Linked DNA regions of Pelodiscus sinensis. The protein of the gene in region 1 interacts with the protein of each later gene in a pairwise test. Links are inferred from orthologs where the notes say so. Each region holds a gene or a part of one and is shown on either strand. Other genes may lie near its edges.

Evidence for each region. The genes of interacting proteins can lie anywhere in the genome.
Region 2: the proteins of ATXN1 (region 1) and USP54 interact in binary tests that used the Homo sapiens proteins (3 or more experiments, as listed by UniProt). The link is inferred for Pelodiscus sinensis from reciprocal best matches to the Homo sapiens genes ATXN1 and USP54.

The regions. Positions count from the first base shown.
Region 1 is NC_134712.1:107,835,969-107,843,006, forward strand, and holds the start of ATXN1 (ataxin-1), read right to left. Parts: upstream 3,012-7,038; 5' UTR 2,855-3,011; intron 1,313-2,854; exon of another isoform or gene 991-1,312; intron 671-990; exon of another isoform or gene 424-670; intron 366-423; exon of another isoform or gene 217-365; intron 1-216. UniProt on the Homo sapiens protein: Chromatin-binding factor that repress Notch signaling in the absence of Notch intracellular domain by acting as a CBF1 corepressor. Binds to the HEY promoter and might assist, along with NCOR2, RBPJ-mediated repression. Binds RNA in vitro.
Region 2 is NC_134718.1:3,916,575-3,923,819, forward strand, and holds the start of USP54 (ubiquitin carboxyl-terminal hydrolase 54), read left to right. Parts: upstream 1-4,234; 5' UTR 4,235-4,430; intron 4,431-5,247; exon of another isoform or gene 5,248-5,267; intron 5,268-7,245.

The DNA.
Region 1 (7,038 bases):
AAGCACATCAATTCTTTAGCACCAGAGGCTGTTGCTAATCCCCTCCTGGAGGAGCTAAATGGTCTCTTTGCTTTTAGCCAGCCCCAGATCTCTCTTACAGGGACTGGAAGAGGATGAGACCAGGAGAGGCTCTGCAGACGGTGTGAAGGGGGAAAACGGGACACCCAGGCCTCCCCTGACCTTCCCGCCCCCCCGGCACTAGCCCTCCTCACTCACTGCTGGAAGTGCCAGCTGCTGGTGTCTCCAGCCGGCCTGGGCCGTGAGTGCAGCGTAGTGGGTCCGCTGCTGAGCGCGTTCCCCGTCCCAGCGCCGCCTCCTCCCCCGCCTCCCCGCTTCATTCACCCCTCCGGCAGCCAGCCTGACCCAGCCCGTACTACACGGCGCAGCACGGGCCGGCCGGCGGCGCTCGGAGCCCGCACACACCCGGCGCCGCGCAAAACTCCAGCTGCTCTCGCTCGCCTGCGCGCCGGCTAATGCACCCGGGGCAGCCGCGGCCAGAGCCCGGCAGCAGCCGAGCGAGCCTGAAAACGCCACCTCTCCCCAACGCGCAAACACACGTCCGCTCTCCTCCCCGTTGCGCGGGGGGGAGGTGGGGGGAAGGAGGTTGACTGAAAGCAACCCAGACCCAGGGGCTACGGCTGTCTCCGTGCCTGTACCCCCTCCTTCCCCCTGCCTCCTTCCCCCCCTCCCCCCGGACATTGCTTGCATGCACGGAGTGCGATGCATTCCAGCCACCACCCCCCCCAATGTGCCTCCCCTCCCCCCAGGATCGCCAAGCCATTTTCTGGCCTCCAGGCTTCCCAGAGCTGGGGGGTCGGGCCGGGCTGCAGTAAGGGAGGCTGAAGCACCCTCTGTGGGGTGGCGAGTGCAGTCCACTCCCCCCCCCTGTTTCTCTCCAGCTGGAAAGCACCGGGGGGGGGGGGGGTTCCAATCGAAACGAGAGAAGCAAAAAAAAAAAAAAAAGCAGAGAAGGAATAAAAAGCCACTTACTGCCAAGTGTCAGGGGAGATGGGGGCAGAGCGGGACTCCACATACACACACACACACACAGTCTTGCTAGCTGATCACAAGGCGAGGGGGGGGATGTTGGTTTGTTTGGTTGCTTTTTCCCTCCTCCTTCCCCCTGCAGTGACACAGGTCCTGGATGTCTCCACCACTGCCTGTAGTAGAAATGATGTCTGCGGTGCAGCGCTCTCTCCCTCTTCTCTCCAGTATGTAAATGTGTAATAGAAGCCAAATATGGAGCAGTTGGCTGCCTCTGCAACAGCTCAAGGATCCTACTTCATGCAAAAGGGACGGGGGAAGGGAGGAGAAGAGGAGGAGGAGGCACGGCAACACTTTGGCAGGCGGCCAAGAGAGCCACACAGATTATTGCATACGCACCACAGAGCCGGGCCAAACCAGGCTTAACCCTTTACAGGGCTTCTTCCCAGTTTAGAGGAGACGGGGATGTGTGTGGAGGGAATTGCAGGGGGGTGAGGCTGCCCCCCCCACACACACACACACACTCTAAAGGCAACGTTTGCCTTCAAAAGCACAATTACAAAAAATACTCAGCAGCCTGTGGCTCAGGACCCCTAAGTGGACCGTGACCCTGGTTTAATGGGTCACCTGGGCTCAGATTATACTTCCTGAGGCCAGTGCTGAAGCACAAGCCACACTGCCCAAGGCTGAAGCCCTTTGGGCTGTGTCTTCCCTCCCCCAGCCCCCCGCACACATGCACACACCAGCCTGAGATGGTGGGACTCAGGCAGACCCATATGGACGATTGGTGGTGGCAGGCCCTTTGCTTTGAGGAGCCCCATGGCGGCCACCTCAACCATCCTATGGACAGGAGGGACCGGGGAGCCTTGTGCAGGGTGGGCAGCATGGGTCACCCCCTTCTCCCGCACTCATCGCAGCAGCAGGATTCAGAGCAGCCCAGCAGCCTGCTCTGCTCCACAAGGCTGCACTGTCCCAGCCAACTGTGCTCTGCTTTTCAGCAGCAGTACGAAGCAGACTGCCCTGGCCCTAGGGCACTCTGCTGCCCACTGCCGCAGAGAAGCAAAGCACAGCAGGCTGGGGGCGGAACAGGCTGCAGGGCCACTCTAGCTCCCACTTCCAGAATGAGTGGGGAGTGACTCCTGCTGCCACTCACGGGAGGGGACAAGTGTGTAGAGCAGGGGTTGGGCTCGTGGAATGGACAGGGTGGAGCCTGCAGCATAGGGGTTGCCCTGGGCTCCACACTTGGGGCAGTGGGGGAGGGATTGCCCCAGGCTCATGCCCCCCCCCTCCTCGTCCGGGACAGCCCTGGGCTCAGACTGTAGCATTGGTCCCCCTACTCAGACCAGCAGGGCTCAAGCAAGCTCAGGCTTTGGTTCCTGGAATGTGTACTAGTGCAATGAAGTTTGAAAACCCCTGTGCTACTCTAACGCCTCATGTCCATGGGGATCTCATAGCACTCTGTCAACAATAATGAAAGTGATCAAAGGAGAGCCTGCTGGAGATGCCTGCATGCTGTCCTTTGGAAGTGGCAGAGAGTGCTAATTTAAGGGACTGCTGAAGATCAGCCACTCAGTGAGGAGTTGAGGGGGTCATTTTCCTAATTAGTATTATTCCTCCAGGGACAAATCCTCAGTTCCTATTGGAGTTGCTTGGAAAAAGATGCCTACCACCTAAATCAAACCCCAAATGACTTTTACTCAGATCCCTTATTACACGGCAAGAACACAGGCAGATGTGGACTTTGTATAGCCAGATACTTTTAGGTGTTGACCACGTTCTGGACTCCCTAATACACACTATGCAGATTACACTTATCCTGAGGCTGAACCTCTTCCAACTATTCCCCCAAGTAAAGCAATTTACCACTTACCTCTCCATGAGGCTCCGGCCTCCACTTGTTCCACTGTTCTGTTCCCCTCAAGAAATGACACAGGCCTCAGCAGACCCATTACTATAAATCGCAAGCGGTGGGTGGGAGAATAATATGCTCAGAAGCAAGGAAGAACCCAAAAGCATGTCTTCTCTGTTAACTCCCTGGGCTGGATCACTCCTGTCTATGATTTCCAGAAGAAAACAGAAGAGAAAGAAACTTGTGACTTCAGTTGACAAAGAGGAACAGAATAGCAAAATTCAAAACTAAAAATATTCTTGAAGAAGTGACAAAATCAAGTTCCTTACCTCCTAGAACATTAGGACGCAAGGTGGGAGGAGGTATGAAGGCAGTGGGTCCTGAAAGAAACAATGTCTCTGTGCCTGAGCATCAGCACACATGAGGACATAGCATGAGAGCGTCTCTCTTAGCTGACACACTAGAGATTGAACCAGGGAACCTTCAGAACTAAAGGCATAAGCTGATACAGCTTGAGATAAAGCTCTGTGTTTGAGGATATAAAGACACATGCCTTTCTAAATACAAACAAGCTAGGCAGTTGCCTAGAGTGACAGATTTTGGCCTGTCTGTCCCCTCCAGTCATGATGCTGGGGTAATTGGGCCAAGCCTGAGAGGCACCATGACCCTGTGTGCCAGGTCACTATGCCACTTGCTCAGATTTGGCCCAGCTGCTCCTTCATCATGATGGAGGGGTAGCTGGGCCAAATGTGACTGATGTGTAAGGTGACACACTGACATGTTGCTTAGGATGGAAGAACAACCTTGGACACTTCACCTCTGGATCAGCACAAAGGGAGACTAGGAACAAAGTTATCAATATCAGACAGGTAGATTAACTAGTGTTGGTCTGTATCTGAAAAAACAACAAGGAATTCTCTGGCACCTTAAAGACTAACATTCATCTGGACATAAGATTACTTGTCAGAGGCATACTTACCAGTGTGTTTCAATGCCAGGGTTGCAACATACCCTCACAATGCACAAGCAGTTTCTGATGAAAAACAAAACCATTCAAAGTGGGCAATGGGACAAACCAAAAATGTGATCAGGTATAAATTTCTCCTGTATACTATGAACATTATGCATATGCTGCAGGGTGCTGTGCTGGGCCTTGTGGGATAGGTGCAATAATCCACAGGCCATGCAATGCTTGTAAGGAGTGCTGTGCATGGTCCCAGAGTAGTGTTTGTACCCAGAATGGGATGACTACTGGTGACACTCTGCAACTTGCACCAGTTCACTTACATCTGGACAAGTTATAATATGGCACTTCTCTAGTGTAGACACGCACCAGTGGCTACATGTAAAAAAATGCATGACTCTAAACTGTCAGTTTCTGTTGATGGGTCTGCAAGGTAATTCCTTATACAAAGAAATATGCGGTATATTTGTAACATAATAGCTGAAAAGATTATAATAAAAATATTCAAAGAGGCAATGGTTTTGATCAATAGGCAATAGAATAGTGTATACCATATAAAATAGATTTACAAGGCATAAGGATCCTTTATTATTACAATGACTGAAACTTTAGTTAAGAGTCCATATGTAACCTGATGACATTTTCTGTTTAATGAGATCTTTGGGGAAAAGAAACAGCAACAGGCCAAGACATTTGGACAGACATGCAACTCAGCACCTCAAAGCAGTGAATCTGCAACAGCAGCAGCAGAGCAGACAGCAACATCATCCTCACCCTGTTAATGCAAGATTCATTGATTGAATCAAAGGCAGGGAGGGAGAGAGACTGTGGATTACTGAAAATCAAGTGAAAGCATTAGTCAATTCTTAAAGTGATCTGGAAAAGTGTAGTGTGGGGGGGAAAGGTATATTATAATCTGGGAGAAGCAGCTTTGGGGGGGCAGTGGTTAAAATGCCCCCCACAGTGATCTGGCTTGATTAAAACAATTTTTTTTATTGACTGGGTCTGCAATCCCTTGCAATCCTTCATCCCATAAACACACTTTAAAGCACTGCCTCTAATGATATTTCAGCCCCTTCAGCTGGACACAGTTTTGAATGTGCTGTATTCTCCCGCTCCCGCTACCTTTTTCATTTCTCTAGTTCAGGGTGTTACTTCAGCAGAAAGGAATCTCTCATTCTAATATGTTCACCTTGCCAATAGGTGTGGCACACGCAGATAAAAAGTAGCCACATTCAAGCTGAAGCAAACTCAGAGCAACCTCCTCCTTTGCAGCAGATGAATGTGAGTCCGGTGTACACCTCTATTCTTTAGCTGCACAGTTTGCTGCAGAAACGCCAGGACCGGCCCACAACATTTTGGCAACTGAGGCGGGGAGCTCAAATGATGGCCCCATGCCCTCTTGCTTGGGCCAAAACTTTGAAAGTTCTCAATTCTGCCTTCTTCCTGTTTTACTCCTCTCATGATACTGCACAGAGAATACATATGCACCAGCAGCAGACACAATTTTCTACACTCTGAGTCCTAGGGTATGTCTAGACTACACCCTTCTGTCGCCAGAGGGATGTAAATTAGACATGCCAACATTGCAAATGAAGCGGGGATTTAAATCTCCCATGCTTCATTTGAATAAAAATGGCCACCGCGTTTTGCCAACTCAGCAATTTGTCAGCAAAAAGCATCTGTCAAAACGGGGATCGGGCAACAAAGAAAGCCTTTGTCGGCCAATCCCTTATGCCTCCTAAAATTAGGTTTACAGCATTGGCCGACAAAGGCTTTCTTTATCACCCGATCCCCATCTTGACAGCCGCTTTTTGCCGACAAACTGTTGACTCGGCAAAATGCAGTGGCCATTTTTATTCAAATGAAGCACGGGAAACTTAAATCCCCGCTTCATTTGCAATGTTGGCATGTCTAATTTACATCCCTCTGTCGACAGAGGGATGTAGTCTAGACATACTCCTAGTGTTGCCCCCCGCCTCCCTACAGTTTGACACCTGAGGCTGCCGCCTCAGTTTGCCTCATGGTAAGATCAGTCTTGAGAAACTCTGCTGCAGAATTGTGACTCCAGCTCTTAAATCTCTCAGTATATTTCTAGACCTCATGACTAACGCATAAATTGATGCAGTGTTGTCTTCCTAAGTCTGCAGACAACCTTAAAGCAGCTTTTGGGAAGTGCCACAAATCGAAACTGCTAGGTAGCAGTAATTCCAACAGCTCCTTACCTAGCTGCTGCTCTTTCATCATATTCTGAGAAATTCTCTAGGGCAGTTATAAGCTGTCATCACAAAAACCTTTAGCATACAAAAACCCCAAAATAGGAAGATTGCTTAAAGTAAACTGAATTTAATATTAAAATAAGCTATTGCACTAATTGCATTGTTAATTTTGATATTTGATGTATTACACAGCTACATTAAAAAAAAAAGCTGCAGCAGAATTTCCAGCCTCCACAGCAACCAGGAACGTTGCCACAAAGCACATGTCCAAGTTACCACGAAGTACAAGAACCCTTAATTAATGCAGAAGAGCTGGGAGACAGGGACATAATGTGACCTTTCCAAACAACTGGCACAAAAGGCCGGATTAATCCTTCAATCTTTATTCAGGCAAAATGCCCTATCGACTTCAGCTGGGAGTTTTGATAGAGTAAGAAGTGCAGACCTCAACCTCAAGGGAGGCAGAGTCATTTGCTTCAGAAAGTGAATGTTAACTACTCCAGGATGAAGACTTAGGGTTTGCTTCTCTGGCTCTTTGGAACTTTCTATAGTTAGTACTTCAGAGGAGTAGCCGAGTTGGTCTTTAACAGGAATAACTTTAAAAACAACAAATAGACTAGTCACTAGTAGCACCTTAAAGACTAACAAAACATGTAGATGGTATCATGAGCTTTCATGGGCACAATCCACTTCTTCAGATGACAGGAGTATTAGTAGTCCAGATCCAAGAATAGAATTAATGGACACAAATCAGATATCCAAAAAGGCAATACACAAAAACCTGTTGGAGGACACTTTAATCTACCTGGCCACTCATTAATGGATCTCCAAGTCACCGTTTTATTTCAGGCCAGTTCCACAAGCCAAATACACAGGGAAGGATTGGAACTTAACTTCATTTACAAGTTTAATTCTTATGCCAATGGTATAAGGACATCAGCTGGCTCGCACACTATCTTCCACATCCTATGACTTAACCTAACAACGAAACAACGGAGGTGCTAATTGTTCTTATCAGCCTA
Region 2 (7,245 bases), on another chromosome or scaffold:
TCCCCGATTCAGCTGCTGGTCAGTTTCAGCAGCGGCTGAATCGGGGAAGCCGGGCGCAGAGTAGCTCCAATTGTCCCGCTGCCCGGAGCACTTCCGGGTTCCCTATGGTGCCGGACCATCAGGAGTGCCAGAGCATTGGATGCCGGACCAATGGAGTTTTACTGTATATCTTCTTCCCATTTGCTAGAAAGTTCTTTTGCTGTGACTAGGGTCAAACAGGTCACATTGTATAATGGTATCTCTGAAAGATTTCTATTGCCAGCAGTTCCTGGGATAATCCTTGCGTGTGAGAGCATTTCCTCAATAAGCATTAACATTGTTTGACCTTTATACTGCTGTACCTGAAAGCCTGCTTGTAGGCATTTTGAAGCTTACAGCATGTTTCAGTAACATCTACACAGTCAAACTTCATAACTTTACATACAACAACATGTGCAATCAAGGGAGATATCGTCCAGATGAAGACTTTTAGAATTATACCTCAAAAGACATACTTTGTACAAAACACATCCTAATTATACGACAGTGGTGAATCTTAGGGTGTCAGAACAGGTTCTGAATATCTCTGGATTTTTTCCCTCTGTTTTTCCTGTTCAAACTTTTTTCTCTTCTATTTTTTCTTTAAAAATCCCCAAGAAATTAAATGCAGAAAAAGTTGCATTACCTCAAATTTAAGGTTGTCCACTTAAAAACACAAAAAGGCAAAAATTTAAGTTCCAAGATCAATGTGAACTCAGTTATATTTAACATGTACCCTTTCCTACTTCTGGTTTTCCTATTCGATATATAGCTTAGTACATATCCATTAATATTGATAGAGGTGCTGGATCTAAGAGTGCTGGGGACAAAAACACCCATGGCTTGAATTGTTTTCCATCATAAACAGAGGATTTACAGTTTTGTTCATTGATTTCAGCACCCGCACTATAAAGATTGTGCCAACATGACTGAACGTTGGAAAATGTGTTGTAATATGTGATGCTACAATGTGAGTTAATGTTGCTGTTGGAATCAACTTTGCATTCTCTTTTGCATCAATTTCTCTGCACAGCTTCAGTATAACACCAAGATAGTTGTGTACATTTGAGAATACAGCCCTTAATTTAATTAGGTTTCTGTCTTCTCCAGTTGTTGCTGTTTATTATTTGTATTTTGGTTGCATCCTGAGGCCATAGCTCTAATTGGGGCTACATTGTGTTAAAATGCCTTCGAAATACAGAGATTCTCTATGTTGAAAAATGGGATTAAAAAGCATGAACCTTGCTGAAACCAGGTGTCACCATTAAGTAGAACTTCCCCCCTACAAATAGACACCTGCTCTTTATTGCCTCCCTTTATATATATAAAAAAAGAGCATGTAGGGTGCTATTATATAGAAGAACATGGACAGATTAGCTAAACTAGTTTATTTTCAGTCCTTTGAGTAAAAAGTGAACAATCCATTAAGATCAACATACTATACTGACTAAACTAGTTTGAGAGCTAAAATGCATGATGCTCTCTAGCTAAATATGTCAGGAGCATCAGAAACAAAATAGCCTGTTACTTGTCAGACATGGTCTATTTTTAAGCAGTCAACATTCCATAGTCAGTGAGCAGGCTTCCCAAATGGGCAGGAATTGAAATCAGTTCTCCAGGAGAATGAACTTGATCCTGGAGTTTGGTAGTAGGGCCTTCCTTACAAATTGTGGTGCTCTGTGCAGCTTGAGCAGCTACTCACAAACCCCACAAACGGAGGCTGGTCATGGGGGGGCCACCCCCTGAGGAAGCTGTGTTCAAGGACTGCATGCTTGTGGGGGCAGGAGTTGTGGAAGGCAGCCCCAGGATTGCCGGGGACAGGAGCAGGGCAGGGAGGCTGGTGAAGAAGCAGGTGGGAGGTGCAGATGCCACGTGCTATCTGAGCTGCAGGTCAGAGACAGAGCTGGGGACACCAGCACAGCTGGATCGTTTCCATTTCCACCAGAAGGAGAACCATCTGGTCAGTGGTGACTGGGTATAGTCCATGGGGGGGGGGCGCTGGCTGGGAGACGGGGCTGACTGCTGGTACCATGGCATATTCAGCACACAACTGCGAAGGGCACCACAACATTTGGGGCTATGGTACCCCAAACTTTGTGGTGCCCTATGCAGCTGTGTATGCCTAGGTATGGCCCTGACTGCAGTAAGTATAAATCCACAGGGACCTAAAGGAAAATGATCTCCCCTTCCATTACCTAAACACAAAAATCATTTTAAGTTCCATTGAGCATAGAAGCCATCCTTGCTCGCAAAGGAGAATAGAAGTATTGCAAGCAGAACACAGTGCACTCTGCTGGGCACTTTGTTGCTTTCCTAGAATATGAGAATTGCAGAACTAGTGTTTGGGTGTGAGGGCCAGGGCTTGTTCCTAGCTCTGCCCTGGGTTCACTATCCCAGTCATAAGCAAGTTAAAACAAAATACAGGACTATGTAGCACTTTAAAGACTAACAAGATGGTTTATTAGGTGATGAGCTTTCGTGGGCCAGACCCACTTCCTCAGATCAAATAGTGGAAGAAAATAGCACAACCATATATACCAAAGGATACAATTAAAAAAAATGAGCACATATGAATTGTATCCTTTGGTATATATGGTTGTGCTATTTTCTTCCACTATTTGATCTGAGGAAGTGGGTCTGGCCCACGAAAGCTCATCACCTAATAAACCATCTTGTTAGTCTTTAAAGTGCTACATAGTCCTGTATTTTGTTTCAGCTACACCAGACTAACACGGCTACATTTCTATCACTATAAACAAGTTACTTCCTGTCTCTACACCTCAGTTACTCTATAACAGTGCTTCCCAATTGGTGCTCTGTGGAACCTTAGGGTTCCACAAAACAAAAGCAAGAGTTCTGTGAAGAGCCAGCACTCCATCACCCCCTCTTAAAGAGACAGAGCTGCAGAGGGGAGGGATAGCTCAATGGTTTGAGCATTAGCCTGCTAAATCCAGGGTTGTGGGTTTAATCCTTGTGGAAGCCATTTAGGAATTTGGGGCAAATATTTGTCAGTTATGGTACTTGGCCCTGCTGTGAAGGCAAGGGACTGGACTCTATGATCAAGGTCTCTTCCAGTTCTAGGAGATAGGCAATCTCCATTAATTTATTTATTTAGCAGGAATTGCAGCACCAGGGCTTTTTTTTTTTGCTCAACAAAATGTGGTGGCAGGGCTTTTTTTGGTAAGGAAACCATAGGGGTCCCATGGCCAAATAAAATTGGGAAACACTGCTCTATAGCATAGAGATAATGATTTGTAAAGAGCTTGAAATTTTCAGACACATTGAACACAAAGTATTATTAATATTACTACAACACTATTTCCAGGCTAGAAAAACCATTTGTTTAAAATTGAGTAAATTAATGCATAGTATCCCCTTTCTTCTGCCAATACATTTTCAATTTCAGACTCTAGCAATCTGGATCTGCAAGTTTCCAGTTCTAGTCTGAAATTAGTTTGCTTGTCAGAACACTTATACAACTATTCACTGTTTAATCATTCATTTTAAAATGTAGTTAAAGTCAGTAATACAAACTATGCCTGGATTTACATACTGTACAACCCTCTTGATTTTAGTGGATGTTAATGAGGGCAAAATTTGACCCAATATGCTCAGACTGTTACAGAAAAATAAAAGGGACTTTTGCCGAAGGGGAGCAGCACAGGATTTCCGCAAGAAGCGCGGATTTCTTGCAGTGGGAAGTCAGTGCTTCTGTGGAAATTCAGGCGGCCAGTGCAGACAGTGGCAGGTTTTTCTGGAGAAGCGGCTGATTTTCCGGAAAACCTGGCCAGGCTAGACGCAGCGTTTTAGCGCGTTGCTGGGAAAAGAGACTAAGCCTTGTTAAGTGTCCTTTTTAAAGGCCACCCCCACCGAGGAGACACTGCGGGGGAAGGCAGCCAGCAGGCTGCAAGGGGGGGGGGGGAGACACGCCCCAGGGCGACCCCTCCGGAGCTGCGCCCCGGCCCCGCCAAGGGACCTGGCGGACGACAGGACGCTGAGCGAAAGGCGCGGCGTGGCAGGCGCCTGGGCGGGAACATGCGGCCCCCGCCTCGCCTCTCAGATCCCGAGAGCGACACAGAGGAGGCGGGTCAGAGGCGCCTCCTCATTCCCGCCCTCAGCGCCTCACCTCGGTAGCCACGCCCACTGCGCGCGCCGCTCGCCGCCATGTTGTGGTTTCTACGCAGTTGCTTTTCCTCTAGGTCCGCCTCTGGTCTCGCCCGCTTCCTCGCGAGAGCTGGGTGGTCGGGGCGCGCTCTCTCCCGCCCCTTTGCGGGGTCTCGCGGAAACGAGGAAGGATTTGGGCGCGTTCTCGCGAGAGCTGGTTGCCTTGGCGCCCCGTAGCTATAGCAGCGAGGGGAGGGGGCCGAAGCGGGGAGGATGCTACAGGCTCCGGCGGGACCCGGCTCTGGCGGGTAAGTTGTTACGGCAAGTGCTGCCTGCCCGGGCCCGCGCGGCGGAGAGCGGCTTCTCCGGGGGGCCCTGTCGCGGGAGCGAGCTGGGCCCGTCCCGCCCCTCCCGTGCCCAGGGGAGCCTGCCCCGCCCCCAGGTCCCGGGGAGTGGGCCGGGCCGGGCCCCCAAGCGCCAGTGAGCGTGTGAGCCGGACTCGTCCCGGCCGCCGCCTGCAGGGCTGGAGGGGCCGGGCCGGGCGGGGCCGGGGGGGGGCTCGGCTCCGGGCCGGGGCAGCGCCGGGCGGGGGGGGGGGGGGCTCGGCTCCGGGCCGGGGCAGCGCCGGGCGGGGGGGGGGGGGCTTAGCGCCGGGCGGGGGGGCCCGGCTCCGGGCCGGGGCAGCGCCGGGCGGGGGGGGGGGGGGGCTTGGCTCCGGCCCGGGCAGCGCCGGGCGGGGGGGGGGGGGGGGCTTGGCTCCGGCCCGGGCAGCGCCGGGCGGGGGGGGGGGGGCTTGGCTCCGGCCCGGGGCAACGCCGGGCGGGGGGGGGGGGGGGGGCTGCTGGCGTGGGAAGCCCGGCGTTGCCCTTCCGGCAGCTTGTAGCCGCTGTCGGTTCCCAGTGCGCTGCATTCGCCGAACGTGGGGCCGGTTTGCGGCTTTTATTGGCCAGAAAAGATGCTCGGAATCGGACCTGCCTGGTACGAGCGAGGGTGAAGCCGCTAGAAAGGATCCGGCTCTTTAAATCTGCGGGAGTGCACTCAGTACTTGCCGAAGTGGGTTGAAGTCCGAGCGAATGTGTTTAAGCCAAGGCAGAACGTTGCGTGGCTCTACCCTGCGTTCACATTGCAGCTGAGAAGAGTAATGTGTACGTTTAAGTCTCTGAATTTGGTGAGCTGTGAATAGCTAAAGGGGAGTGAGAATCTCCCCCACCTCCCAAATGAGTTTCTGAAACTAAGAATGTCTGCTGTCAGGCGGGAATCTTGAAGTTTAGCACCGCGACTGTTAGCAATTAATTGTTGATAAAAGAAGGAAACAAAACTGCTTCTTAAGTTCTAGGTTGAAAGAAACTGGTTAGAAACTAAAAGCTTGTTTCCTTTTTTGGGGTGGAACTAATGAATGGGGGAAAATGGCTTTTCTGGAGGGGAGAAAGCTATCTGGCTTTGCAGGGCATGATTTTGTTCAAATCTTATTTTTCTATGCAAAGATTATGACTCTCTTCTGTAGATTGAGTATTAGAGTCCTAAAATAAACCAAAACAATGCACACCTCCTGCGCTCAAAAAGTTGCAATCATCATGGTTTTCTGCTACATCAGTAAGTGAGGAGGGAAGCTGTTATGGATATTAAAGGGGTGTGTATAAATTTTCAGCTACTTTTTGGTATTACAAAGCAAACTAAGGCACAGTATTTATGAAGATGTATACACATTGAAAGGAAAACATAAAAAAGCTTCATTATATGATCATTTCTGGGGAAATTTGAAAAACAAGTAATTTTAGAATAATTCTAAAATCAAATTTATTTAAATATAATTACTCTTCAGTCTCAAAAAAGGAGCCAAAACAGAAAGGTTCCTTGTTGCTATAGATTGGACTTGGAATAGCACTTGAATATCATTAGAAAATAAGAAAATGAAGAATTAACAATGACTGTTTTTTTTCTCTAGAAAGAAAATAAATTGCTACAGTACTGAAAATTAAACTGGTGAAATAATGCATAACTTGAACAAGAAAGTTTTAAAATATAATTGACACAGAGCATAACATGAGCTAAAATAATGTGAAACTGGCCCATGCTGAGTAGTGCTCATTTAGTTGGTGAAATTAGTAATATTAATATCTACAGATTGGACTCTCCAAGAACTTCTGTTGAAGTATCTAATCAAATTTGCATTGTGTGTTCTTTTGTATTTAATTAAATATTTGTTGTCCTGTTCACCTCTAGGTGGTGCCTGTCAGGCAGGTTTGGTTCCCATCACTCACTGAGTCCTCCTCTTATTGTCAAACTTGCTCACAGTTATAGGCTTAGTAGGGAATGGTGTAATTTTGCTGTTTACACTAGTGACCAGCTGAAAAAGATTCTATATTAATACTCTGTAGCCAATAAATGCAAAAACATGTTATGCTGTCCTCCCTCTGTTTTGGGTTATGTAAGCATGTTGGTGCATCTTGGGGCTAGAGCCATAAATCCATTAAGATGGATAATGGAAATTTAAATCCTCCTTTATCTAACCTTCATGCTATTGAACATTAAATCTACTTATGTGAGTTTTAATGCAGAATACTGTGAATGGTGAAAGTGTTTCTAAGGATTAAAAAACTTGCTATTCTGCTTTCAGGCTATAGTTAACTCTCCGTCCCTATGTTGCATTTATTTTTTGTTTCATTACAGTAGCTCCATCTGAGCAGATGCCTGAGATGGGCCACACTGAGTGCCATACTCAGCGCATGCTGCAAGAAACACTGTAGACAATCCCCAAAACCATGGTTTATTTTATATTGGAGTCAGTGAACCAATAGCAAAAGAACTTCTATGGTATCACACTGGTTAACAAGAAACTAAACACAATCCCTATAAGACACTTAGCCCTTGGCTCCAATCGAGGCAAGCAGGTCTAATATAATGATAAGAAAAGGAGAGAGCTCTTGAATGGTTAAGGAATCATTTACAGTAATTCCTCACTTAACACGTGCCCACTTAACACATTTTTGCGATAGCATGATTTTTTTTAGGGAATGTTTTTTGAATTACACGACCATCCATCCCCAGAATAACACAATTTCCCCAGCCGGCCCGTCGCTGGCGGCTGCGCGGCGCTTCCCCCGCCTCCCTGCAAAGTGGCGG